Callithrix jacchus: one gene and its partners. The protein of the gene in region 4 interacts with the protein of the main gene of each other region in a pairwise test. Links are inferred from orthologs where the notes say so. Each region holds a gene or a part of one and is shown on either strand. Other genes may lie near its edges.

Region 1 (3,500 bases), on a different chromosome or scaffold from region 4:
TTGCCTAAAGAGTCGAACATGTAAAAATAAATTTTTAATTGAAGAACAAGCCAATAAAGATAATAAAAAATAACTAGCATAGAAAGAAATGGAAAATCTATGAAGAAGGAAGGAATACACCAACCTAATGAAGTCCTGAGCAGGCAGAGGACAAGGGGCACTGGCCTCAGGCTACTGATCTTTTCATTTTTACCAATGAGCAACGTGAGCACATTAAGTATAAGAAATGTCATTAGCTACACGATTAATTGTTAAGTCATTTGTCATTAATTGCAAAAGGAAAACAGAGAAAGAAAAGATCATCACCAATGCTGTGGCTGGGAGGTTAAAAGGAAAGTGGTGACAGGAGGGGAAAAAACAACAGCAAAAAAGAGGCACTACCACAGGCAAAGAAAAATCTACTATTTATACCCAGACCTTAAATCTTGGAGGCTGGTTACAGTGATGAGAAAGGCACTACTAAAACAGACCCACTGTTTCTACCCGAAAAGTCTGTAATATAAAGTACTAATAATATATGCTGCAAGTATATGAAGTTATTTTGAAAGAACCCTGATACAAGTACAAATATGTGGACTTCAAGGATTTCATTAACTTTTATATTATGATGATGCTCTTCATAAACATAACCAATCAGAAACACTTAAAAAAACATCAGTGTACTACAGGTCTTAAAAGGGCAACAGGGCCGGGCGCGGTGGCTCACGCCTGTAGTCCTAGCACTTTGGGAGGCCAAGGTGGGTGGATCACTTGAGGTTAGAGGTTCAAGACCTGCCTGGCCATCATGGTGAAACCCCATCTTAAAAAAAAAAAGAATCTGAGAAAAGGGCAACAGAAATTAACACTGACAGAAAATCAGACCACTACCAAGACCAATTTTGTGGGCATCTTTTCAGCACCAGTTTAACTAGGAAGCTGAAACAGGGACTTACTGTTAGGAGTTTCAGTAACGTTGCCTTTTCTTTTCTGGCCAAGCAAATGAAGAACTGAAAACAGATAACTTAAACAGATGTGAACCAGGACATGAAGTGTTAAGTCTGCTCTGGCTACAGTATCAATTTATGCTTATAATCCTTAATGTATGATACCCACCCTTAGTTTACTTTTTTTAAAAGAGGAAATAAAAACAGAATTGTTTTACACATGTGAAAAGCTGAACGCCTGTGCTACACATTTTTAAAAACTAATAAAGCTTGCTATGGAATAACTATTACTAGGACTTCCATCTAATAAAATTAAAAAATTAGATTTTTTAACAAAAGCAAATACAGTAAGTTTTAGACATAGCACAGAACAAATTTATCAGGCACATCAAAGAAACTGGTGCCCATGTATAGGCTGTGAAGGGAAAGACCAAGTTTAGGACTTGCATAAGAATGATTTCTGATGAGATTGCTTACAGAAACTTTCATGGCAACTGGCCTGAGCCATCATCACACAACTACTGTTAGAAATTAAAAACCGACATGTATAAAATGTATGTCTTTTAAAATAACGTAATCGATTTGGTTCAATGTAAGAGTCTACAAGCACAAAAGCACTGCTTCAAGGTTGCTTCATTATTTTTTCCCTCCTAACAGGAACGTCAATTTACACTTTAAATAATTTCACATGGAAAGCACAGAAATAGGGCCTCTTTTCCTCATTTACATAAAAACACAGAAGACAAAAACTATAATAAAATATTTCTCTAGGTCCCAGTTGCTAGGGCAAACTGAGAACGCTTTCTTGGCTATTATAAATGCCGCTTTGGACAAATGGACATTATAGAGCAGCTCACCGGTAATGTTAAAAGCACCATAAGGGATATATTTGTTTTGTATGCTCTATAAAGAAGCCTGGGAAAAGGTGAAGACATAAATTATATAAGCAAAAGCTTTCGTGCAGTAAATTTAAAATTATTATATGACTATATACTTAATACATCAAATTGTAACCTTGTATACTGAAAAAGGTTCTTAGCTAAATGCTTTAAATACAGGTGTGCCGAGTGTGTTTCTAAAAGCAATAAAGAAAAATATGACCTTCTAAAACAGACAAATTAAAGGACTATTATGAATACTTGTTTGCAGTCAAACAGTACGCTCTTTGGCGCCAAATTAGCCTTGCAACCTGGCTGTGTTACTTAGCACTCCACTTACATTCATCGTCCATATCCCTGCCCTGTAAAGACAGTCCAGTGAGTGGCCTGTGTGATCAATTAATGCAATGGAAGGTGGCACTTCAACCACAGTCCTACCTGTGCTACAGCATGGAGAACATTGATGTCTCTGGTCCTTCTGAGTTCATTCCACTTGCCTTGTATTGAGGAAGTACAAAGTCTGTACTTTTTTTTAAGTCTCTATTTAGGATAACTAGAAATCTAATAAATAATTGAGTCCGCTCCAAACTAACTGCTTAAGAAAATACAACTTGTTTCTTTCAGCCAACCAACATAGATGACATGAGGCTCAAAGGGCATTTAAGGAGCGATACCTGTGGCTCTATTCACATTTCTGTTAAGAGTAATAGATGAGGGAAATAAACATGGATTTCACAAAGGGAAGAATACTTCTTTGTGGAAACCTCTGCATTTTAAAAACATAATAAACATTATGTCAGCAACTAGAGAGCTAAGGCAGTCATGCTGGAGGAAATCATGTCACCAACTAAGACAGCTAAAGTCAGTACCAGGTTCAGAAAATTCAAATTTTAGTGGAAAATGCAAACAACTGGAATTTTACAACTGAGTCTATATGTGAACAAGGGCAAGTACAATCGGTGAAAGAATTCTGTTCTTTTCCTGAGCATTATTAAATATCCAGATGTAATACCCTAAGCCTCTTAGGATCCTGTATAAGAAATAAAGCTGAGCCAAATAAAAAAGCCTCCCCCATGGGCACTGACCTTATCAAAGCACAAACGATACAGCAAAGACGACAGCAGAGGGTTCTTCTAATTCGAGCAATTAGTATTTAAACAATGTGTTGTTTCATGTTATCAGTTTGCCGTTTTTCTTGAGATCCTAACAGGGCCAGACTATTACTCCATGTTAACACACATTTTAAGAACGTATAAATGTTCTTAAGTAACTGTTTTCATGTTTCACAGGTAAAGTTTATGTGAAAGAATCTTTTGCAAAAAGTTCTAAAACACAGACTTTTCATTAGGCAGGGCCACTTACCTGCTGGCAAGGCTGAGCAATTCATGTTTATCTGCTACAGCTGACTTCTTTTCAAGTTCCCACATTAAGACATTAATCAGATGTGAATTTTTAATTACAATCGGCACTTCTTCAAACATGTACTCAAAGGTGATATTTGCTTTTTTCAATCTGTGAAGCATGTTACAAATACTTTAGTCTGATGGTCAAAAGTAGGTGCTAAATTGACTACTTCATAACATTTACCTAATTATAGGCCCTGTCCAAGATCTTTGTTTCATCAGCACTCTTAAAAAAAAAAAAGGCAGAGAAACTAGAGTTTTACAGAGTCAAGCATAAGTTTGAGTGATCTGAGTAA
Region 2 (4,031 bases), about 38 Mb from region 4:
ATTTTCTCTTTCCCTGGGTAACAGCACAGGAACAGTAGTGCTCTGCCCGTAAGAAACATTTTCTTTCCATCCCTCTGTGCTTTTGCAGTTGCTCTGGAGTGGGAGGGGGTGTGTCTCTCCTAGGGACCGGGCTCGGGGACCTCCCGCGGCGCCAGGAGCACGTTCCCAGGGACTGGGTCTCCCGGGACTGCCCGCGCTTTGTGCTCGGCCGCTCAGGGAGGTGGACGCCTCAGCGCCTCTCTCGCCCAGGCCCCCGGCGCGCCCCTCCGGGGGCCAGACTCTGGCTCCTCGTTCTTTATTCCTCGGGCTCTCTTTCTGCGACCCTTAGGAGCCGGGGACTCCGGCGCTTTCAGTTGCATCCAGACCCAGTCGCTTGTAGGGGCGCTCAGATCCCCGGTCCCTGGCTCGGCCTTGGGGGCGCCCTTGGGCCCCTGCCTGCGCCGCCTCCCTCTCCCCTGTCCACTCTTTCCAGGCCTCCCGGGCTCCTAGAGACCCGGGAGCTGCCCTTCCGGACCTGCAACCCTCCAAACTTGGGCTGGATTCCGCGTTGCCGTGCGCTCCCTCCCGCTTCCCCTCGCCCGCTGCGGAGCTGTAACTTGGAGGCTCAGCTCTCAACTTCGGGTGATTTTTCTTTGCTGTCTTCTCCTCGGGCAAAGTTTCCCGAGCGCGGCCGCGGGCTCGGGGCTTTCACTTCGGCCCCTGGCGTCTGCACGCGGGGAGCGAGCGCGGCGGCGGCGGGGAGGGGAAGTGGGTGTGCGTACGGAGGAGGGTGTCCGGGAGCAACTCTACCTGGCTTCCCTCCGCCCGCGCTTCGCCAGCCCGGGGCTGCAGCCTCCCCGTGTACTCTCTCTCTGTTTTTCTTTTAGAATAATCTTTCATTTTAGGGTCCGCGTGTGTGGGGGGGAGCAGGGCGCACGTCTTGCTCCCCCCCACCCTTTCCACCCACCCCTGCCACCCCTTTCTTTTCTCCCCGCCACGCCACCGCGGCGGCGCTCGCTGCGGCCACTAGTGAGCCCGCGGCCCCAGCGCCCCCTCCCCTCCGCCTGCCCCTCCCCCGGGGGCCGCGTCTGGCGTCCGCGGAGCCCCCCGCCCCGCACCTCCCCCGCCCCGCACTGGCCATTGGCTTGTCCTGGTCTCTTTTTCATGTCCAGCCCCTGATGTGTGTCCATTGGTGTGAGCTTCCCCTTCCCTCCTCCCCTTCTCTCCTGCTCGCCCTGCCCATGTTTTGTGTGTCTCTGTCCATCCAGACTCCTGACGTTCAAGTTCGCAGGGACGTCACGTCCGCACTTGAACTTGCAGCTCAGGGGGGCTTTTGCCATTTTTTTTCATCTCTCTCTCTCTCTCTCTCTCTCTCCCCCTCTATCTCTCTTCTCTCTCTCTCTCTCCTTTTTTTTTTTTTTTTTTTTTTGCTTAAAAAAAAAAAAGCCATGACGGCTCTCCCACAATTCATCTTCCCTGCGCCATCTTTGTATTATTTCTAATTTATTTTGGATGTCAAAAGGCACTGATGAAGATATTTTCTCTGGAGTCTCCTTCTTTCTAACCCGGCTCTCCCGATGTGAACCGAGCCGTCGTCCGCCCGCCGCCGCCGCCGCCGCCGCCGCCGCCCGCCCGCCCCGCAGCCCACCATGTCTCGCCGCAAGCAAGGCAAACCCCAGCACTTAAGCAAACGGGAATTCTCGCGTAAGTAACCCAATAATAGTAATAATAATTATTAATAATCACGAGAGCGCGCAGGACTAGAAGCAAAAGCGAGGGGGAGAGAGGGGTGTGTGCATACATTTTTAAATTTTTCACAAGAAAAACCTCCAAGAGTCGAGGTAAAAGAGATTAAAGGGAGAAAAAAAACCTCATCCCATCTCGAACCATTGCCATGTATGCACTTTTGAGACAGCACGCACCTTTTAATTTTATTTAATTTTACAAAAATTTGACTCCTCCTCTTTCCTCCTTTCCGCCGCTTTATTTCTCTTTTCGAAAAGGAATGCAATGATTTCCCACCCCCAGTTTTGCAAAATAATGAACAATGCTAAGGATGCGAACTACTCAATGGCAAACCTGGGGGTGGGAGCTGGTGGGGAAAGGGAGGTTGCTTCCCACTCTCCGTAAGAAAATGGGGGGAGGGAGTGAGTGAGTGCAAGTCTGAAAAACGATTCCCGGGGAGAAAAGAGGTGAGACTGGCCTTTGGACACCAGCGCGCTCACGGTCAAGTGTGCAGCGGGAGGAAAGTAGTCATCCCACAATAGTGAGAAAGTGGGACTGTGGAAAGGGGCCCCCGGCGCTCCCGAGTCCGCCGAGTCGGGAGAGGGGTCGTGGCAACGGGGAGAGCCGTGGGACCGGGAAGGACGGGAGACGCGGCCGGCACTGCCGCCTTTTGTTCCGGCTCGAGGTGGGTGTTTGTCCCGCTGCCTTTTGTGCCGGCTCTTCGCGCTTGCCCTCCCGCGCCGCCGCCGCCGCCGCCGCCGAAGGGCAGGAGCCAGGGCCCGGGGAGGAGGCGGCCGGGGGCACGCGGGAGAGGGAGGGAGGGAGCCCGGACTGCTGCCGCCTGGGTTGCCGCTGCCCACCCCTCCCGACCCAACCTCAGAGGCAGCAAGGAGAAGACTGGCACATAAATACATACATAAAAATAAAATAAAATAAAACAAGACAAGAGAATGTACAATTTCTTGCCCCCAAACCAAGGCCAGACGCTCTGCCAACACTTCTCTGTGACGGTCTTCTCTTTGACTCCCCCACTACCCCCCCCCGCAAAAATCTCACAATCTCTAATCTGTAAAAAAATTTACAATCACCCCGTTCCCCAAAATCCCTTCAGTTGCAAACTTAGGGCGCCGGCGGCACGGAGAGGGAGAGAGGAACTCCCTCCTCTTACTATTTTTTGGAAGATTTTCAAAAAAAGTGGAAGTGGATTTTGATTGGGAAAAATCTCGTGTCTGAATGTTTACAAGCACCGCGTGTGCGGGAGCCTCCTGCCAACAAACAGACAGAGGACCGAGCGCGGCGCGGCAGCCCCGGAGCAGGCAGCGGTGGCGGCCTGGCCTCGCCCGGGCCTTGCCGGACCTCGCTGCGCCCCAACCCAGCCCCGGATCGCCCACCCGGCGCCCGCCGCCCACCCGCCTGGCACGGCGGCAGGCCGCGCAGTGACTCCGCGCCAGCGTGGCCCGCGATCCCAGTCCGCCCTCAGCACAATGCCCAGACCTCTTCTCGACCTTCCAGACTGCGAAATCGGCTGCGTGAAACCCGGCTTTGCAAAGGATTTTTATTTTGTAAAGCAACTGTAAAAGCGCGTTCTGCGGCTCCCCTCCCCTCTGCCCTGGGTACTCTCTCAGATGTCTCTTGTCCACAGCTCCGGACTGCGGGGAGGTCACCACGTGCTTTCCCTGCCCCCACACCTCCCGCTCAATCTGGCCACCAGCCCCCCTGCGCCTGAGCACGGCCAGGCCAGGTGGTGGGGGTGCCGGGGGAGGGCAGGGGAGAAGTGTGTTTGAGTATGCATTTTGAGGGTGCTGGATCCTGGGACCCCGAGCACTTCACTCTTTGGGTCTTGCCCTCTTCCCAGGGCCTGGCTGGGTCTAAGGTTCTTGTGAGTTTATACAAGAGGTGGTGGTGCTGGCTGTCTCCCGCTGGCTGACTGCGCCTGGAAAGGCGGGCGGTGGGCACTTAGGAAAGTTTGGCAGCAAGGGAAAGAAAGGCGTGAGAGGGCGCACATCCCCCCCGCTACCCAATTTATGATTCTTAAATTTTGGATGCAGTTTTCAAGGACCAACTATACTTGGTTTTGTGTTTTTTAAAGGGGTGGTGGTAGTGGGTGCGCCTAGGGAATTGAATTTTTCACTGGGCCCTGGAACTTGTCACACATTTCGGAAGCTCCCCCGCCCCGGCACGTTGCGGGGCCCTCCCTCTTCCCACCCCCGCGCATCCCTCCCTCGCCTCTCTCCCCCGCCCCCCACTCCCCCGGCCGCGCCGGATGCTGATCAGACGCGGCGCGCGGCGTTGTGAAGTTACAGCCCGGCCAGGTATCGGCGGGAAGG
Region 3 (4,068 bases), on a different chromosome or scaffold from region 4:
TGAAGCTAATACAATAACATTAAGGTTTGCTCCAGAAATTTGTAATGGTATGGTTTAAAAGTGATTTTTTTCGGAAGTATAACATAGTTTCCTCATCATCTGAATGAAAAAAATTCACTGTAGGCGGGCCAAGAGATCACCAGATTAAGAACAAGTGTTGAAAACAATGGATTTTGTTCTAACTAAACAAGTCTAAGATGGCACTGCTGGAAGTCAACCTTGATTTTCCACAGCACAAATAAAGGTCACAGCTTTGTATCTCAGCAATTGTCAGGAGTTTTAGTTTTTCAAGATTACATTGTATGGGGTAGTTGGATTTAGGGAAACAGGACACAGTATCTGGAGAATAAAAACAGAATTATAATTGCAAGAGCAAAATTATCTGCCTTGAATTTTGTAGCACTTCATGTTTTTTTCAAGGTGTTTTCACATAAATGTTGATTTTTATCTACATAACAGCCCCGTGAAGAAGGCAGTTACTACTAGCAAAATCGTTTTCAAAATTTTAAATACCGAAACCATGAATTAAAAAAAGGACAGCGAAGTTGACAGCATTAGATAAATGACAGAAAAGGTTGTGGGTGAGGAAGCAAATCATCGAAATGGCAAACATAAAAAGCTGAGGCCCAGGGGACCGCAAACCAGAAGAGTAAGGGGCTAACCTGGCACGAGAGAAAGGCTTTGGTGGGGAAGTGTAAAGAGGCCGGAGCGCAGGTAAACTGGGGTTAGGAAACTGCAATTCACGGCAACAAAGAGGATGGGGTCAAATTTGAGAAAAATGAAGTCAGGTGGCATTGAAAGCTGCGTGGAAGTTTGTGAGCTTTATTTCTGCCCCGATGAGGAGTGATCTTTCACAGAGGAGGGTCCCAAGAGCGGAGGCTGTGTCCTCCTTCGGTTCCCCATCAGCAGCAGAGGGAGAAAAGCCTCGAGAAGTTCCCCAGGCCGATGACCCCCACGGGGGCTCGGCCCCAGGGTGAGGACAGCGCCGAGGTGAGTCCCGGAGGGCGCCGGCGGGAGGCCAGCGGAACTGGCTGGTGCGTTCCCGCCGGGCTAACAAAGGCCGCCGGGAGGTGAGGGCTTCTCCAGCCGCTCCAGCGGTCCGCGGGCGGCGGAAGGGTTAACTGCGCCACCGACTCCCGCGCGCATCCCGGCCCCCACCTCTGTCGTCGCTTGGAGACGCCGGAAGTGGGGGAGGGGCCGGCGGCGCGGGCGAGGGTGGGAATCTTTTTCGGGCGCCCGGGGGCGGAGAGAGGGGAGCGCGCGTGCGCGCGCCCGGCCTGCCGTCGCCGCGGTGACCGTCCTCGCAGTCCGTCGGCTCGCGCCCCGCCCCCGTCGCCCCCTCCCCTGTCGCGCGCTGGGGCTGTTTCTCGCTCCTCCCGAGTTACCGCCGCCGTCGCCGCCGCTCCTCCTCTCCCGGTCCTGGGTTTCCCTGGCGCTGCGGCCGCCGTTCCCTCTGCGAGCTGTATGAGGAGGAGGAGGAGGAGGATGTGAAGATGGCGGAGCTGCAGATGCTGCTGGAAGAGGAAATCCCGGGGGGCCGCCGGGCCCTCTTCGACAGCTATACGAATCTGGAACGGGTGGCCGATTACTGCGAGAACAACTACATCCAGGTGCGAAGCATCCCCCGCTGGGGCGCGTCCGGCCTCGGGTGGGCGGTGAGGGGCGCGTAGGGGACCCCCGAGTGGGGAGCCGCGCGCCTTGGGGCGTGGGGCCGAGACCGCTGCGGGGACATGGCCCGGTGGAGACCCCAATGGGGGTGGGGAGCTGGGTGAGGGCTGGGGCTGGTGAATGGGTGGGAATCCTCCGGCTGGATAAACTGCATCTTTAAAACCTATTTAAAAGCGGTGAAGCAGTCCTAGGCTCGGTGCGTGTATCGCGTCCCGCCTCCTCGCCGCTCCTGCCCTCGGCCGCCCCCGCACTCCGCGCGGGTCAGCGTTCCGGTTGGCGGAGGGGGCGGAGAGTGGCATTTTCTGTTTGACGGAATCCTACTCCCCCTTAGGGTAGGGGTCTCGCGGGCTTTGACGGGTTACCTCCATCCCCCAAATTCTGGACGATTTTTAAGCGGCTATCTTGCTGCAGAGTGAAGTGCTTCAGACTTCAGTTTTCTATTCCTGTGAATGCTTCAAAAGCCCTTAATATTTTATGTTCTAAAGGGGATACGGTGGAAGAGCAGCGGTCTCTTGTTGAAAGTTAATGCCGTTTTTCTCCCTATGGAGAATGATAATCAACTGATTCCCTCCTCCCTCTAGTCCCGTTAGAAAATTTTCCTGGGGGTGGGAGGAGGACGGACTATTACTGTTTCTTAGAGAGAATTGGGAAGATAAACCTCCTGGTTTAATTTTTTTTTTTTTAATACCGTGATGGATCGTTTGACACAGGGCTCACAGGGGTAGCGGCGTGTGTGTGGAGGCGGCAGATATTGGGTGACATGTGATCCAGCTGCTTCTGGATGAAGCAAAATATTCTGTGGATTAAAAAAAAAATCCTTCTTTAAAAATCACTTGAAAGGATAGCAGGTTAAAATGCACAGTTTGCAAAATCCAGCATCCTTTGCTTTTTTTTAAAAAAAAGATTTTGAATTATGGGTTCTGCCTCCATTTTTTTCTTTCACATTTAAATTCTCTTGGGATAAAGGTGGAGATGGAAGCAATATGTTAAACTGTTTCTTCACAGTCCTGTTTTTTTTTTTTTTTTTTTTTCTTGCTCCCACCTCCATCTCTCCAGGCATCCTTTTTCTTTTCTTTTTGAGACAGAATCTGGCTCTGTAGTCCAGGTGGGAGTGCGGTGGCCCCATCCCATCTGTTCTCACTGAAACTGGTCTCGACCTATTCTCGTGCTTCAGCTTCCCGAGTAGCTGGGGCTACAGGCGCACGTCACCACAGCCGGCTAATTCTTGTATTTTTAGTAAAGATGGGGTTTCACCATGTTGGCCAGACCAGTCTCGAACTCCTGACCTCAAGTAATCACCCACCTCGACCTCCCAAAATGCTGGGATTACAGGCAGGAGACACCTTAACATCAGATATATAGGAAAGCATTTTCATGTTTTAGTGTAAAATTTTAAAAACAGATGTTACAATTTTATTGGTTCATAAATTTTGTAATGGCCACATTGTTGATTACAGTAGTGAGATTTTGTGATTAGATATTGTTATCTTGTAGACAACATTTGTATTTGAGAATGTACCGCAGTATAAACCTGTTACCTCGAAAGACACAGTTGAATATGGCTACTAGGAAAGAAATGTAAGCAAGATTAATACAAAAAAATACAAATGTCCACTTGTAAGGTACTTTGCTGATTCAGAGGTTCAGGCCTGGGTGACGAGTGAGACTATGTCTCAAAAAAAAAAAAAAAAGGTTTAGTTGCTCAATTTTTCGCTAAAATTGAAGGTCTTTTTTGGCCTAGAACTTCGTGAGGGGTGGATAGTACATACCTAGTGTCTACAGAGTTTCATAGTCTAGGTAGCAGGAGAGGCTGATCTTGGAGGAAATTAATATGTTAAATTTACACTCCGTAGTGCACTGCTGGTACCAAGGAGGACTGGAGGAAGCAATGCTGTTCTGAGGGAATTCACAATCTTTTGTTTTTTTCTTATTCCCTCCCAATATTGCATTATTTTTTTTCTTTTTGGAATTCACAATCTCCAGGAGAGGCAAAACCTAAAGGACTGAAGTGGTAATCCCATTGCCTTGTGCAGCATATTATGGATAGGGAGTTGCAGGTCAGAAGAGAAGTTGAGGGTGGAAAACTGCATTGAAATTATTACCAGTAAGAAATAAAATAGCCAGGCATGGTGGCTCATGCATGTAATTCCAGCATTTTGGGAGGCCGAGGCGGGCACATCACGAGGTCAAGAGATCAAGACCATATGGGCCAACATGGTAAAACCCTGTTTCTATGAATAATACAAAAATTAGCTGGGCATGGTGGCACGCGCCTGTAATCCCAGCTATTCGGGAGCTGAGGCAGGGGAATCTTGAACTTGGGAGGCGGAGGTTTCAGTGAGCCAAGATTGTGACATTGCACTCCAGCCTGGTGACAGAGTGAGACTCCATCTCAAAAAA
Region 4 (3,500 bases):
GGAGTTTCACAAATTAAAACTTATTATTTCAATATACAAAAATGTGGCAGTAGAAAATGAAAACACACAAGTAAAAAATGTGAAGCTCTTCTCTAAAAATGACTCCTGCTCTGCAATGAGCATTCAGGAAATGCTGCAGTAATTACTCTCCCATGATTGAACCAGAGTTTTCCCAAGGATAAATACACATAGAGCCTCGTCATAATACTTTTTTTTATTACAATATCCAAAAAACTGGGTATGCAAGTTTAGGGGATCTCAAGACCCCTTCTTCAATTGTAGGAATGTGCCATCTCAAGACGGTATATTTAAACTATAAAGAAGTTCAAATGTAAAGGAAAAAGAAAATGCAATTTCTTCATAAACATTCTGTGTCTCTTACTACCAATCACATACTCTTCTGTAAACCCTGAAAATTTTCCCTGTAAATAATATATATATAGTGTGTGTGCGCGCGTGTGTGTGCGTGTCTGTGTGTGTGTATAAAGTGTAGGTAGCTCCCTTCCCCAAAGATCAGCTGTTTTCCTTAATCATCTGTATTAGTGTCAACAAACAGCTACAGATACATATTTCTTTGAGAATTAAATACATAATTGTGAGATTCAAACAAGCCAAAGGGCAAGAGGAAAAAGCACTATGTGGATGGCACATTTGGGGTAAATTACCAAAACATCTGTCTTTCTGAGTCACCGGTTCCCTCTTTTGCAGACTGCCTTTCCAGGAAACTCTTTATTGCAAGCACAGCCCCAAAGGCACTGGGCAGTCTCCTCACTGCCTTCGCTCCCGGTGGTTCCAGTATTGCTATCAGCAAACATGTTGGCTCCCTGCAGAGTCCGGGAGCCATGTAAGGGCACAGGACACGGGCGAGGGCTGCTAGGACTGGGGCCATTGCACCTGCTCTGCCCAGCACGTGGAGGGCCCACGACGCGGGTGCCGCCGCTGAGTGGCCTGAGGCTCGCTCACGCGCTCACAGGTGCCCCGTGTCTTTGTCATGAGGGGTTCCGTGAGTGGGAACGAGTTGAATGCACGAGTGCCGTTTCCAATGGAAAAGGAATATCGTGAACTCGCCCTGCTCCTCCCCTCCTCTAAAGCTGGCCGGGCTGGGCCGGGTGGGCGCGAGTGTGGGTGAGGCCTGGATGGCGAATGGGAGACAAACCGACCAAGCGACCTGAACATAAAGAGACTCGCTGGGAAGCCGTCGGGGCCGTCCCCACGGGAGGAGCCTCTGCGGCAGGGCCGGGCGGTAGCGCCACCAAGAGGCGAGTGTGGGGCTGGGGCACCGTCACTGCAGGGCCCTGACGAGGTAGAGCTTCTCCCCGTGCTCACTGGTGAAGATGGGCGCCTTTTTGTAGTGTTCCACCAGCTCGTCCATGGTGTGGAAGCGCCGCTGCCCAATGCAGTAGACATTGTCCACGAGCTGCACCTTGAAGTGTTTGTTCTTCCCTGACGCTTTAAGGGACACGGAGAAGTCGCTGGGCTGCGGAGGAAACACAACACAGTTACAGCCGGGCCAGAGCTGGGAGCTCCTGTCCAGCACGGGGAGGCCCAGGACGTGGGCGCTGCCGCTGGGTGGCCTGAGGCTCGCTTCACTGACTGTGAACCCTCTGGGCACCTCCATCCACCTCTCCTGCGTGTCTAAATCCAAACCACCCTTTGTCTTTTTTTTTTTTTTTTTTAATTTGAGATGGAGTTTCACTCTTTTGCCTAGGCTGGAGTGGAGTGGTGAGATCTCGGCTCACTGCAACCAACCTCCATCCCCGGGGTTCCAGCGATTCTCCTGCCTCAGCCTCCCGAGTATCTGGGTCTATACACACCCACCACCACGCCCCGATAAATTTTGTATTTTTAGTAGAGACAGGGTCTCCCCATGTTGGCCAGGCTGGTCTCGAACTCCTGACCTCTGGCAATCTGCCTGCCTTGGCCTCCCAAAGTGCTGGGATTATAGGCATGAATCACCGTGCCTGGCTGGGTCTCTGTTTTATATCTAGAATGGCATCTGATGTTCAGAAAGACCTGGAGGCAGTCCATGATTCTGAAGTTCTGAGCAGAAGAAATGTTACACTCTGCTTAGCCCAGTTTCAGTGCTAAATGTGTTTTAGTTATTTGAAAAGTGCAAACTCATTATGGAATATACAGCACCTCATTATGGAATATACAGTGCTGACCTGACTGCTCAAGAAATCTGTCATTTTTATTTACCAAACTATTTTTTGATAAACCTGGAATTTATTAAGAGTGGTTTTTATGTAGGCAGTAGCTAGAAATATTACTTCTTCTGATGTCTAACACTATTAGAAATTAAGACATCAAAAATTTTCTAATTCTAAGCATTTAAAAATATAAAGAGCAGTGGAAAATTCTGGTTGCATTTTAAACAGTTCACAATCTCCCAGAGGAAGCTGAACTATGGTTTGATTACAGATTTTACTGAAAAATATTTAATTCTGTGATATGTCAGTGCCTTAGTTATATTTCAGAATATTTTAGAAAGATGTCTTTATTTTAATTAAAATGGGCCTTTTATTGACTGGGTGCAGTGGCTCACGCCTGTAATCCCAGCACTTCAGGAGGCCAAGGCAGGCATATCATCTGTGGTCAAGAGTTTGAGACCAGCCTGGCCAACATGGTGAAACTCTGTCTTTACTAAAAGTACAAAATTAGCTGAGTGTGGTGATATGCGCCTGTAATCCCAGCTGAGACTGAGCCATTGCACTCCGGCCTGGGCAACAAGAGCGAAACTCCGTCTCGGGGGGGGAAAAAAAAAAAATTAGCTTTTTTTTTTCCCCCCCCCGAGACGGAGTTTCGCTCTTGTTGCCCAGGCCGGAGTGCAATGGCACGATCTCGGCTCACCACAACCTCCGCCTCCTGGGTTCAGGCAATTCTCCTGCCTCAGCCTCCTGAGTAGCTGGGATTACAGGCACGCGCCACCATGCCCAGCTAATTTTTTGTATTTTTAGTAGAGATGATGGGGTTTCACCATGTTGACCCGGATGGTCTCGATCTCTTGACCTCGTGATCCACCCGCCTTGGCCTCCCAAAGTGCTAGGATTACAGGCTTGAGCCACCGCGCCCGGCCAAAAAATTAGCTTTTATCTCATTTGCTGAACAGCATGCAGGAAAGAAGATAATGAATGACAAATGTTCTTTACAGAAATATCAAGTTTTGATCAATTAATTAAACAACAATTAGTTACTAACACATGCCAGGCAGGCTGTGCCCTGGATACATCTGTGCGCACATGCAGGATATATGCTCCGTGATGATCCAGTGCATATAAATAGAGATGGCTAAATAGAGGTGGACAGATGGCTGCACAGGGCAGTAAGTTCTATGAAGAAAACCCCAGAGTTGCATGGGAGAGGAACATGAGCTACCGGAGCTATAAGTGTGTGAACGTGTGCATATGTGAGAGGCAGTATGTGAGTATTAAGAGAGAATGTGTAGCGTGTGAGTTTATGTGTGTACACACACAGGTATGAGATCTAAGTATGTGTATGCA
Region 5 (4,014 bases), on a different chromosome or scaffold from region 4:
CACAAAGCAAATAACTAGACTAGACTCTGCTGCTGGACTGTGCTAACTAATCAACCAAGAGAGGGCCTTGGCAGTGGTTACTCTGGAGAGCCTCAGGCCTTAACTCTGCTGAGCTCTGACAAATCCCACTGATCTGGTTAGGTCCTTGTGTCTACCTCTTTTCACTATCATCTCACAGAACTTTATTGCTCCATGGCTCTTCTGTTCTAAGTTGGTCATAAAGAGTAAACAGAAAGGGACATGAGGCACTTCTGACTAAGAAGTTAAACTAATCAAAGGTAGTAAAATCTAAAATAAAACCCATTTCTTCTAACTCTTGGGCACGTCTCTCAACATACACAAAAAGCTATTTTGAATGGGTAAGTTTGATCTAATCTCCTATTATTTATCTTTAATACAATAGTGTTCAACCTTGAGTGAGCATAAGAATCACAAAGGGAGTCATTTTAAAATCCCCTTCCCCCATGTCTCTGGGCAAAAGAATCTACATTTTTAACAGACATCGCAGATGACTGATGAGTGGTGTACAACCACTTTTAAAAACAGCTGCTGCTCTATTACTACTTAAAAAATAGCCTCTGCACTCAAGAGTGCTTTGCCTTATAATACAGAAACGTTCACATTGTAACAAACTGGATATTGTAAACTGAATTCTATTTTCCCATAAGTAGGTTTTTAAATTTTAAAGATACATTATTCATTTTGAAGGCTGGGGGTGATTTCTTACACTTTCTTCTATAGGCTACATTCCATGCTTTTCCATTCCTCATCTTCACCTCAGTGGTTAAAGATTTAGAATTTAGAAATCCTTTTAAAAGAGGCTTTTTACCCCCAATTTATCTTTTTTTATTCATCAGGAATGTGAGTATTTGAAATGTTGACTTGTAAACCTTACTTCTGAAAACAAACCTTGAAAATGCCAAATATCTATTTAGGAAAGAAAATTTTTGTATCAAACAGGTCTACATTTAAGGAAAATGTAGCTATTAAATAATGCAGATTAGATCCAAGGTACTGGGAAACAATGGACATTTTATTATTTTTCAGAAAAATAGGAAACTTTTTAAAATTACCTATGGAGGATCATCACCAAGTAAGCAACGTCACTTCTAATAATGTACTTGGACACAGTAAACACAATCCCAGACTGAAGGCTGGTGAAGTGGATTCTGGACTCAGTTTTGCCACAAAAGAGCCATGTGACCTTGGGAAATAACCTCTCTAGCACTACGTTTAATTTATGAATAAGATGGTTAAATAAAAGTAACACTTTGATTCCAGCAGCTTAATTCACTGGAAGGTATTTACATCAAAAAGCATTTGAGGTACATATCACCTCTAAAGTGCTTGATCAAATGACATAATTAAAACTGAACTGGAAACTTGATATTGTGAATAACTTATTGAGATTGTTCTTGTAGCTATCAATTACATATCATTGTACTTTGCTTCTTCGAAAACGTGAATAGTTTGAACGTCTAAATGTTCATATACTGACTTTTCTTAAAGTCAAGTACCTAAATGTATCATAGTCCAGTTTTGAAAGAGGAAATAATGTATCTTTTCAGTCTTTTTTCCCAACCCATTGTTACTGCACTGACAAATACCTTGAAGGCTTACCCACTAACAACAGTGTTGCAGTAATTACATCACAAAAGTAACATTTCTTTCCTAATAAAAACTCAGATATTCTCCTGAGATTACAGCTATATTCCGGTAACGAACTTTCTTCTGTCTGCTCTCATTCGTTAGCGCAAACATTTAAAATTTTAACCAATAACCAGTTCACAAATCATTATTTCCAACGTAATATACTGAGTCCAAGAGAAAAAAATCGCCCAATAATCCAACAGGAAGCAACGCATGCATTTGGCAATTCCAAGGAGGCTGGCGAAGCACAGATACCTCGTTCAAAATAAATAAACTTTCCAAGGATCTTTATTTACCGACTTGGGAAAGGCAGGTTTGAAAACAACCAGTTAACTTCACTCCCAAGTTGGCATCTTAGAGAATCGTTTAGCGTTTGCAAAACACCCAGGACCTCTGAGCCTCCCAGCCTAGAATTGGCCAGGGGAGCACACGCCCATCGGCCCTGCCTGGAGTGGAAACAATGGGAGAGGCTCGAGGGAGCGAGCCGGCGCCCCAGGCACCCCAACTCTGCGGCCCCGGCCCGCCCCAACCCCACGCGCCGTGCCCCCTCCCCCGGCGCCCGGGCCCTCCAGGCCCCCACTCCCGAGCCCCAGGACGCGGCCCACCTGCGCACGGGGAAACGACTGCACTTACCAAACAGGGTCAGGGCCATTGTAAAGGCGCTCGCCGCCGCCCACGAGTCCACGCGCTCCTCCCAGGCCAGCTGAGGATCACCTCATCGGCCCACCGCGCTCACACCTCGGAGGGAGTGGGGTGCCCGACGGGGCGTGCCGGGGGCGCCGGCGCTCTGGGAGGCTGCAGGCCGGGAAGCGAGGGTTGCTGCAAGAAAAAGTTATTCACGCGTTATCGTCTGGTGCACCATCCCCAGGGAGCCCCGCTAGCTCTCCGCGGGCCGGCACTTGTCGCTGCCATCCGGCGCGGAGCGTGCGCGCGGGAGGAGGTACCTGCGAGGCGGGAGGCTTGGTAGCGGCGCAGTGGCAGGCGGAGAGGCGGCGCCGCAGTGGCGGCGGCGGGGAGAGCAGCAGCCTCGCACAGTCCCCGGCGGGGCGCGCTCACTCCGCATCCTGTGGCCTCGCAGACGCCATCTTGCGATAGCGTCTCCCACGAGCTCTGCCGCGCCGCCGCCTCCCGCCTCTCTCTCGGTCTCTCTGGCCGAGTTGCGTTCCCATGGCAACGGGCGCGCGCGGGGGGCGGGGGGCACGAGGGGGCGCACTTATTCCCCGGGCGGCAAGGAGACGCCCGCGCCCCCCTAGAGGCGGCCGCCCAGAGCGGAGATGGAGTCGGGTCGTAGCTGAAAGCCCAGGCTTTTTCCTGAATGGATTTGAGGAGGCGCAGAGAGGAGAAAACTGGCTGTTACTCGAAAGAGGAAGAGTCACGGGAGGATGCTGCGTGAATGCAGCGCCCGGGCAGGGTCATCTGGGGACCTGGTGCGCGTGAGGACATATTTCTCCTCTTGGCGCCCTCCGGACTGACTGAGGCTGGAGTCGGTGACCTGAAGCTGCAAGGCGTAGGAAGGAACAGGCACTGAATGCTGCTTTCCTCTCCCTTTGGACTTAGGAACGGCTAGGAGTAGTTCTGATGAAATTATCACACATTAGGAAACAGGAGTCGTTTAAAATCAACTGAGATTACCTAAAATAATTTGTTAAAAGGCCGATGCTTACACTTGATTTTCCTCCCTATACCTCTTAGATATCGTCTCAAGGAAAAAAAAAATCAGCATGTGTCACTGACTGGCACTTATTTGCCACAAAAGATTTTTCCCCTGAGCTTCTTGTATTTATCTGACAATCACTGGCAACATCCTGCTTTCTGGGATGTTCTCTCCTCACCTCTGCCTTTGCCATGAGAAGCCATACACCACCTTGAGATTGTCAGCCAAAAGATGTTCTTGAAAAGCTGAATTACGATGTTTTTCGTTCTTGCCGTTTAATGTATTCAAAAAGTCATTCTTCTCTAGTTGCTATATGTATGCCCTGTTTAAGAAATTCCTTCTTTTTTCTTGTTTCTCTGCTTAGGGATTTGATGCTATTTTGGTATCTGATCATATAGAGCTTCTCTTTGGTTCTCCTTTCTTCCTTCAGGCATCTTTCCTCTTTTAGTTCCTCAGCTTCCCTAGTGTCATTTCCCTCTTCTCTCCGATTTTCAAATAATTCTTTAAGAATATTACAGAAATATATTGCATTTAATGTATCTTAGGCATCGAATCGTGATAAAGTGGGGGATTACTACAGTACTTCCAATGGAACCACAGTTAATTGACCATCATTATTTCACAGCAGACTTAAGCATTAGAAGAAAAGCAGGTTGGAAGGAGGAGCGCCAAGCCTTTTGTTTCAAGTCAGTTAACTCAAGAAGAAAGAA
Region 6 (4,277 bases), on a different chromosome or scaffold from region 4:
CACCCGGACCCGCTCAGGCCGCAGCGGCGCTCGGGGTCGCGACCCAGACCTCGACCCCGCGCATCCAGCGGACTCCGGGTCTGAGCAGCCTCCGCCAACCCAGGGAGCCCCGCCGCCCAATCGCTCCTTTCGCCCCGAAGTTCCCGGTCTCCGCCGCGGGCACCGATGCCCGAACCACAACCCCAGCCTGGCGGGAGCCCGGGCGTCCCAGCTCCGTCGGGTGGGCGCAGGTGCGGCGACGCCCCCGCCCTCGGCCCCCCGCCCGGGCCTCGCGGAAAACGCTCCCCAGTTGGAGTTGGTGCCCGGCCGGCTCGAAGCAAGCCCCGCACTCGGAAGGCCCCGGGACCCGACGCGGCTCACCTGGGCGCTCGCCAGCCTCGCGACCCGCTCGGGCACCGCCGCAACCTGCCGCCCCCAGCGCCGCGGCGCGCCCCGACCCCGCGCCCCCATTGGCCCGCGGCCCGCGTGCCCCGCCCTCCAGCACCCCTATTGGCTTACCCGCGCGGGTGTCCCGCCCTCCAGCCCTCGTCCATTGGCTACCTCCGTCACGCCCCTCCCCGCCCCATTGGCTCGTCGCCGCGCCCCGCCCCCAGAAACTCCAGGTGTGGGCGGGCCAGAGGGCGGGGCCTAGATGCGGCCCCCATCCCCTATCCTGCGAGGTACGCGGAAACGCGGCGGCTGCGGCCCCCCGGGCGGCGCGTCGGGGCAGGTGTCTGGCCCCGCTCCTGGGCGGACTTCCTCAGCCGCCTTCCAGTGTGGTGGGTTCCTGCCCAGGGAGGGTCGCCGGCCTGGGCTCCCGCAAACCCCACCTGTGCTCGGGGGCAGCGGGGCCAGCACCGCCCCTCGCGGCCCCCGCAGCCGCCGTCGCCTGGACGCGCAGGGGTCTCAGGCTAGCAGGTCACAAGTCCCCGGCTAGGGACGTGGAGCCCTGTGGGGCTGGTGGGCGCCGAGCCCTGGTGCGGGAGGTGCGCGCTCGGGAGAAGGCCGGGGCCCGGGCTGAGGCTCTTCTTCCCCGACACCTGCCTGCCCTTTAGGACCCGGGGCCGGGCCTGGCGCATAGCGAAGCCGGCTGGAAGCCGCTCCTCTGCCCTGCTGTCCCGGCCGGGGTCCGCAGCCTCGTGGTCCGCCATTCATTGCCTATTCTGCCCAGCTCAGAACGAGTTGTGGGCGTGGAGGGGCCTCCTGCCGGCCTGTCTCCTGTGCTCCTCTAGGGAGGCCTTACCCAGCCGACAAGCTGCAGAGATGGAGGGCGAAGGCTGGAGTGCTTGGGTCAGGTCTGGCCTCGCTTTTGTCCAGGAGGAGAGGGAATACTTGTCATGATAATGGCAATGCCCAAAGGGGTCCCTGGGGGTGGCCCAGAGGGTGTGGAGATGGCTGGAAAAGGTGAGGCTTCCAGCTTGCGGGTGAGTGCTGGTCATTGAGGTCGAAGGGGCTGTGGGCCCGGCCTGGCGGTGCAGGCAGGCACCTGTAGTCCCAATAACTCTGGAAGCAGAAGTGGGAGGACCACTTGAGCACAGGAATTCGAGGTTACCATGAGCTGGATCACACCAAGGAACTCCAGCCTGGGTAACAAAACAAGACCTTGTCTCTAAAAAATTGATTATTGGCCGGGCGCGGTGGCTCAAGCCTGTAATCCCAGCACTTTGGGAGGCCGAGGCGGGTGGATCACGAGGTCAAGAGATCGAGACCATCCTGGTCAACATGGTGAACCCCCATCTCTACTAAAAACACAAAAAATTAGCTGGGCATGGTGGCGCGGCCTGTAATCCCGGCTGCTCAGGAGGCTGAGGCAGGAGAATTGCCTGAACCCAGGAGGCAGAGGTTGCGGTGAGCCGAGATCGTGCCATTGCACTCCAGCCTGGGTAACAAGAGCGAAACTCCGCCTCAAAAAAAATAAAAATAAAAATAATTATTAATTTAAAAAGAGGCTGTGGGTGGGGTGTACTACTGTAAGTTAGCCCTCACCAGTCCCCAGCTTGTCACTGTTACCTGTCTGCTTCCTGTCCCCCACGTACCCATGGCTATGCTGGCCTGGCTCACAGGCAGCAATGCCCCATATGTGTCACACTGCTGCCACCAGGCTGGGTAGGGGGTGCTGAGGCCTCCCTCAGTTTGAGGGTGTTGGCCACTAAGTGGTTCCCCGCCACCCCAAGCTGAGCAGTGGCTCAGTCTCTCACACCTCCTCCAGCCTGGGCTGGCTCAGAACTCACCCAGGGGCCTGGTCTGGGGTCTCCCTGGAGCCTCCAGGTAACAAACAGCCCCTCCCCTTCTGGGTGCTGGTATCCAGGGCAACGGTATAGAGCCCTTCCTTCCCAGGCCTGCTTGGAGCTCTGGCCTCAGGTGAGTGCTGGGGGTGGGGTCCTGAGCTGGGGAGACCAGAGAGAAAGAGAAGGACACCACGTCACTGGCAAAGGTCAGAAACACACAAGTGTGGACACCCATTTTGGGGCTCCTCAAATAGCCACCGCTGGGCGGCCCCAATGTGGCCACACAAGCACACCCAGCAGACCTGGCCCCCCCACTCCTCCCAGCTCCCAAAGAACATCACGAATGGCTCCCAAGTCTGGCCCCGGGGCTGAAGAAGCCAAGGAGGAGGCTCTCTCGTCCTCCACAGACCGAGAGTCGGTCAGTGGTCACCTGGGACCTCCAGCGGGCACACCTGCAGCCTCTGCGACTTCCATGACACGGGTGGCCTGCTCTGCCAACCCGCAGTAAGGATGGGAGGGAAAAGTGGTGAAGCTCCTGGGCCAGATGGCTGGGGCCCAGCCTGAGCAAGAAGCGGGGGACACTGTCACTGCAGGTTGGCTCCTGAGTCCCTGGATCCTCGCACGCTGCGGCTGCTGTGGGGGCAGCGAGAACTAGAGATCCAGGCCTTGCGGTGGGCGGTCCGGAATGGCCGGGACACCCGGCTCTGGCACATCCTGCAGGAGGTGGCGGGGCTTCCGCCCAAGAGGTCTGAAGCACAGCATCCAGCCCAACCCAACCCTGCCCTGTCCTGGCCCGGACTCCTGGTTTCTGACCCCAACCCCAACCGCCGAGTCAGATCCTTTCCCTTGTCCTTGCCCACGCCGACCCTCCACCCTGACCCTAAGCTAACACACTGCAGCTTCAACCCCAGCCCTGCACATGTGGATGGGTGCCAGGCCCCTGCCCAGACCCGTGGGTGGCTGGCCGGCCCCAGTGCAGCTGTACTGTCTGCCCTTGGGGCCAAGATGGCCGTGGTGCCCCTCCTTCACCACTGACCTGGTGTTAAGAACGCCTGCACGAGCAGGCTGGGGGCTGCTGAGGTCATCCCTCCTCCAGGAGCTCCCACAGTCAGGAGAGGCTCCTGCAGAGCCAGGTCCAGAAGCTGACCCTGCAGCTGAAGGAACAGAAAGAGCAAGCCCAGTGGGTGAGGTGGGGGCACAGGGAGTGGGCGGGGTCCTGGTGTTGGGAGCCAGGCCAGGGCTGGCCTCTCACCCACAGGCCCTCCTGGAGCAGGAGAAGGAGTACCTGGAGGAGCAGCTGCTGGAGACCACGCGCAGGCTCCAGGAGGTAGAGGCTGAGCTGCAGAACTTCCAGAAGTCCTGCCTCCTGCAGCTAGCCCGCTCCTCGTGGGTGGGCCGCATGCTGCAATCCCAGACTGGCAGTGTGGAGGTGAGCGCAAGCCCCGCTGCCCCAGCCACCCTCCCCAGCCCTCACCCTCCCATTGGGTACCTCTGCTGGGGGCCCTGGCCTGCCTGGAAGCCTGCCGGGCTCAGGCTGCCTCTGGAACTCCAGGCTCCAGCGGGGAGGAATCAGGAGGCCTCAAAGTACAGGTGTGGTCAAAGAGGAGCGGTGCTGTGGGGGAGGGTGCCACTCGCCCCAGTCCCTGCCCACTGGCCTCTGGTCCCCTCTGGCAGGTGGTGATGGCAGGGACTCTGATGGACCCAAGTGACCTCTCTGAGAACATTCAGGCCCCCACTGGGGAGGTGAGTTAGGCCTGCCACGTGTGTGGTCTGGGAGGAAATGTGCCTCTTGTTTCCTGGCCAGGGCTTTCGGCTGGAAAAAGACTGGAACAGCATTGCCCGCCGGTACCCCAACCTCTTCACCAACGTGGAGCTTGACTCCCAGCAAAAGTAACGGCACAGGCAGGGCCTCCCCAGGGGCTAGAAGGGGGGGCTCATGTTGGCAGGTGAAGACCCAGGTCACTCAAGGACACTACCCCTTGGTGTCCCTGGAGAAGTCCCTTAACTCTCCAATGCTCAGTCCTGTGATCTGTGGAATGGGTTGGGGTTGAAGGGGCTATCACTGTCCTG
Region 7 (3,500 bases), on a different chromosome or scaffold from region 4:
GGCGGGGGCGGGAGGGCGGCCATCGGTCTCTGAGGGGGCACAGGAGGCTGCTGGGGGGCTTTCCCAGAGAGGGGCCGGTCTGTGGAAACACAAGGTTATTAAGGTGAAAGGCGAGTGTTGGTCAAGCTCAGGCGTCTGCAGGAACAGATGTAGCTCAGGGCACGGGGGGGAGGTGCATGATCCTCGAACCCCAGTACCATCAGTGCCAGCAGGAACCCTAGCCACGGCAAGACCCAGCCTGGATCTCACCTACCCCTCCCGGCCCGTTTTTCTGTCCCAGTTCGTGTTACTCTTCTTCTACACAGGCTCAGCTTCCTTTGCACTTCACAGGAATAGGTATTAATCAGTGATTTTACCAATCAAGAAAGTCCTCTTTGTAAATAGCTCAGCCTGAACTGGAAGGGAGCATTTTCAGATAGTTTTGTAAAGAAGTAAACATACACATATACCTCTGTATGCAGACACACAAATATACACATGTGCACACATGCACGTGCACACACACATGCATATGTATTCACACACCTGCACACACAGAGACACGTGTGCACACAGACACACACACATGCAAAAAATCCCACAGGCACACCCAGCTTCCTATGTAGGGTAAAGTCAGCTCTCTCTACCCATACGGATCCTGTTCTGGCTGCCCTTCCTTGCCCTCTCCAATGCCCTGGGCCGTCTCCTCACTGACATATCCTCCTTTTGCTCATCTCTTCCCATAAAGGGAGGAGCTGGTCACCTACTTCTGTTACCAGACCACAGACTCTTAAGTGGTAGCTAGATTTGCCTTGAACAGAAACACACATTATCTGAACAGAAACTCATATTATCCAGATTGTCAAGGAAGTGTCCCTAGGCCAGATTGACAGGCTGGCAATTTCCTACCCCTTTGATGGGGAAAGGCCAGGACAAGACCATCAGGCAAGAGGGGTGAGTGGGAACAGATGTAGCGTAAGGACCTCCTTACGCTTTGTGCCCTGGGTGCCTCTCTTGCCTCACGCTAGTCCCAGGCTTGGAGAGGCGTGGCTCTTCCACAGAGATGAGGGTAGGACAAGGCCCAGCCTGACCTAATCTCACCCCACTCCACCCACAATGACTATCTCTCAGCTTCTCTAATAGGCCATGCTCGTTTAAGCCTCAGGCCCTTTGCACGGCCATTTCTACTGCTTCAAACTTCTTCCCTTACCACATCCATTTCCACTTGGCCAACTTGCATTCATCCTTTAATCTCAGTTTAATATCACAAGTTAAAGATCACACCCTCAGGCAAACGCCCCAGCCTCATCTCCTGCACTTGTCTTCCTGCCTCTATGTCACGGTTTCACTAAGTAATCTCATGGCTCATTTGTTAGAGGCTGCCTCACCTACTGGACTGTCAGTCCCTTGGCAAAGACTGTCTTGCTCACTCTGTTTCTTAATGACAGGCACACACAAGGCACTCAACAACTGGCTTATTCATTGCTTCTCTATATATGAAACAGGCTTGATCACGGTTGTCCTTATTACACGGGCGTTAAAAAACCACCATGACATATTGAGACAGCATTTTGTGAAAGGGCTTTAAAATGGAAATGAGTTATACCGCATAAAAGATTAAATATATTCATTTTCTGTGGCACTGATCTTCAATTTTCGGCTTACTCCCTGAAAGTATATGATACAAGTATATATTTGTTTATTTTCTGTCAAGGTCACTATTAGAATGTAAACCCCAGGAGGCAGGGGCTGTGTCATCTTTCCTGATTGTTTCTCAGCACTTAGAATGGGGCCTGGGCTTCCAGCAGATCAACGGTGTTTGCTGAATGAGTGAATGGAGAGGTGAGGGGGCTAAAAGGACAGAGAGACAATAAAAATCATAAATATCGTCTCATTTTTTAAAGTTAGAATCAAACCCTACTCAATATCTTCATGTTTATTCTAACATACTAATACCATGTGACTATGATTTGATCAAAAGATGGGAAAGAACAGGAAAGCACTCTTGGAGTACCTGAGTAAACCACAGAATGAGCTGAAATTGCCAAATAGCCTTAGGTGGGGTAGTTCAATGCTGATACCAGCCACCACAGGCAGGAGTTGTCTGCACTATTAGCAGTTCTCACAGCAAGCCTACGTGATCTGTATGTTATTTTCCTATTTCACAGATGAGGAAATTGAGGCCCAGAGAGGTAGAGTTACTTGTACAGAGCCACATAGCTGTTAAGAAGCCGAGCGGGTATCGGCACCCAGAGCTTTCTCCTACATGGGCAAGCTGGGCCATCGGCCTTCTGTGCAGCAGTGGGGAGCTTGGCTTTAGGCTGCTGGGGCCAGAGAATCCGGAAGCGGGCCCTTACCTATGTACATGGAGTTGGAGTTGGGAAAAGGCTTGGCAGGCAGGATGGAGCTCTGCAGAGCTTCCTCATCGTTGGAGGGTGGCGGCTCATAATCCGCATCATCTTCCACGGGTGCCTCTTCCTCCTCATTGGGGGACTCATAGTCACCGTCATCCTCTCCATCCTGGTCGTCATTGGGACTTTCATAGTCATCTTCTTCCTGCCAACACAGTGGCAGAGACCGTGTAGTTTGTAGAGGCTCTGTGGCCCGCGATGTGCCTTTGCCTACTCTCTCCCTGCCAAGCCTCACAGCAGCATAACCCGGGACCAGGCAGCCTGAAGATGGTTACTCTCATCTTACAGATGAGGAAACTGAGGTCAGGGAGCATCATATCACAGGGGCAGCAAGTCATGGACTTGAGACCTTGTTGAAGGTCTTCAGACCACCTTTTTACACAACGTCTTTTTGCACAACAGAGAAAAAGAGAAGAAATGAGGAGGATGTTGGAACAGAGGGCACAGGAATAGGCTCTGTTTTGAGTAAAAACATTTTTTACTCCCAGCACATTACACATTTTTTACTTTCTTTTTACCAAGAGAAAGACTAAGGGCCTGGAGCATTTGTGATGATACTAATTAATTACCATTTCTTAGTGTGCATGTGCTCAAAAAATTTCCTCTCATTATAACCTAGTGCAGTGTTGAAAACCTAGCTAATGGGGAAAACAGATCAACAAAGCCTGTTAAGTGGAAGGCAGATTAGGTTGTGTCTAGAAGGGGATGGTCAGAGGCTGCTCTATTCTTTTTGCTGAGCGTTGAGTCTATCAACACATCCATTATTCATGAAATCTGACACTGAGTTTGAAGCTGCTCTCTTGAAAAAGACTCTCTAAATTTTAAATTTTTAACTGTACTTTATTTTTGCTTCTTCCCGAGTCTCAAGGAAAGTAAGCTCTAAGTGCTGGGTGCTTGCCTTTGAGGCAGTGAAAGTGCAGGAGCATCGGAATGACTTCCCAGCAGAGGTGGCAGCAGCAGTAGCAGTGATGAGCGCTCACCGTGGTCATGCCAACGTCCAGGCGTGAGTCAGTGAGCCCAGAGCTCAACACTCAAGGGCAGTGTGGGAAAAAGCAATGGGAAGTGGCCACTTTTTTGAGGAAAGGTATGTTCCAATGTCCCAGAAATCCT

What was found.
Region 1: the proteins of NCK2 (region 4) and EIF3H interact in binary tests that used the Homo sapiens proteins (3 or more experiments, as listed by UniProt). The two-hybrid records come from large-scale screens. The link is inferred for Callithrix jacchus from reciprocal best matches to the Homo sapiens genes NCK2 and EIF3H.
Region 2: the proteins of NCK2 (region 4) and BCL11A interact in binary tests that used the Homo sapiens proteins (3 or more experiments, as listed by UniProt). The two-hybrid records come from large-scale screens. The link is inferred for Callithrix jacchus from reciprocal best matches to the Homo sapiens genes NCK2 and BCL11A.
Region 3: the proteins of NCK2 (region 4) and ABI2 interact in binary tests that used the Homo sapiens proteins (3 or more experiments, as listed by UniProt). The link is inferred for Callithrix jacchus from reciprocal best matches to the Homo sapiens genes NCK2 and ABI2.
Region 5: the proteins of NCK2 (region 4) and CHN1 interact in binary tests that used the Homo sapiens proteins (3 or more experiments, as listed by UniProt). The two-hybrid records come from large-scale screens. The link is inferred for Callithrix jacchus from reciprocal best matches to the Homo sapiens genes NCK2 and CHN1.
Region 6: the proteins of NCK2 (region 4) and RASSF7 interact in binary tests that used the Homo sapiens proteins (3 or more experiments, as listed by UniProt). The two-hybrid records come from large-scale screens. The link is inferred for Callithrix jacchus from reciprocal best matches to the Homo sapiens genes NCK2 and RASSF7.
Region 7: the proteins of NCK2 (region 4) and LCP2 interact in binary tests that used the Homo sapiens proteins (3 or more experiments, as listed by UniProt). The two-hybrid records come from large-scale screens. The link is inferred for Callithrix jacchus from reciprocal best matches to the Homo sapiens genes NCK2 and LCP2.

Annotation. Positions count from the first base shown.
Region 1 is NC_133517.1:80,780,821-80,784,320, reverse strand, and holds part of EIF3H (eukaryotic translation initiation factor 3 subunit H), read right to left. Parts: intron 3,314-3,500; coding exon 3,164-3,313; intron 1-3,163.
Region 2 is NC_133515.1:53,588,596-53,592,626, forward strand, and holds the start of BCL11A (BCL11 transcription factor A), read left to right. Parts: upstream 1-1,231; 5' UTR 1,232-1,491; coding exon of another isoform or gene 1,492-1,567; 5' UTR 1,568-1,599; coding exon of another isoform or gene 1,600-1,628; coding exon 1,629-1,683; intron 1,684-2,136; exon of another isoform or gene 2,137-2,171; intron 2,172-2,173; exon of another isoform or gene 2,174-2,389; intron 2,390-3,976; exon of another isoform or gene 3,977-4,016; intron 4,017-4,031. UniProt on the Homo sapiens protein: Transcription factor. Associated with the BAF SWI/SNF chromatin remodeling complex. Binds to the 5'-TGACCA-3' sequence motif in regulatory regions of target genes, including a distal promoter of the HBG1 hemoglobin subunit gamma-1 gene.
Region 3 is NC_133507.1:124,617,724-124,621,791, forward strand, and holds the start of ABI2 (abl interactor 2), read left to right. Parts: upstream 1-1,268; 5' UTR 1,269-1,493; coding exon 1,494-1,610; intron 1,611-4,068. UniProt on the Homo sapiens protein: Regulator of actin cytoskeleton dynamics underlying cell motility and adhesion. Functions as a component of the WAVE complex, which activates actin nucleating machinery Arp2/3 to drive lamellipodia formation.
Region 4 is NC_133515.1:15,959,019-15,962,518, reverse strand, and holds the end of NCK2 (cytoplasmic protein NCK2), read right to left. Parts: intron 1,478-3,500; coding exon 1,283-1,477; 3' UTR 197-1,282; downstream 1-196. UniProt on the Homo sapiens protein: Adapter protein which associates with tyrosine-phosphorylated growth factor receptors or their cellular substrates. Maintains low levels of EIF2S1 phosphorylation by promoting its dephosphorylation by PP1.
Region 5 is NC_133507.1:54,443,039-54,447,052, reverse strand, and holds the start of CHN1 (N-chimaerin), read right to left. Parts: upstream 2,801-4,014; 5' UTR 2,595-2,800; intron 2,470-2,594; 5' UTR 2,303-2,469; coding exon 2,284-2,302; intron 1-2,283. UniProt on the Homo sapiens protein: GTPase-activating protein for p21-rac and a phorbol ester receptor. Involved in the assembly of neuronal locomotor circuits as a direct effector of EPHA4 in axon guidance.
Region 6 is NC_133511.1:131,332,673-131,336,949, forward strand, and holds the start of RASSF7 (ras association domain-containing protein 7), read right to left. Parts: upstream 2,801-4,277; 5' UTR 2,712-2,800; coding exon of another isoform or gene 2,532-2,711; intron 2,367-2,531; 5' UTR 2,211-2,366; intron 1,483-2,210; 5' UTR 1,419-1,482; coding exon 1,223-1,418; intron 759-1,222; coding exon of another isoform or gene 166-758; exon of another isoform or gene 1-165. Other genes in the region: LMNTD2 (lamin tail domain-containing protein 2), read left to right, coding at 166-758, 2,532-2,711, 2,801-2,953, 3,304-3,391, 3,481-3,636, 4,012-4,097. UniProt on the Homo sapiens protein: Negatively regulates stress-induced JNK activation and apoptosis by promoting MAP2K7 phosphorylation and inhibiting its ability to activate JNK.
Region 7 is NC_133503.1:62,517,721-62,521,220, forward strand, and holds part of LCP2 (lymphocyte cytosolic protein 2), read right to left. Parts: intron 2,536-3,500; coding exon 2,337-2,535; intron 80-2,336; coding exon 1-79. UniProt on the Homo sapiens protein: Adapter protein primarily involved in signaling pathways within T-cells, as well as other immune cells such as platelets, mast cells, and natural killer (NK) cells.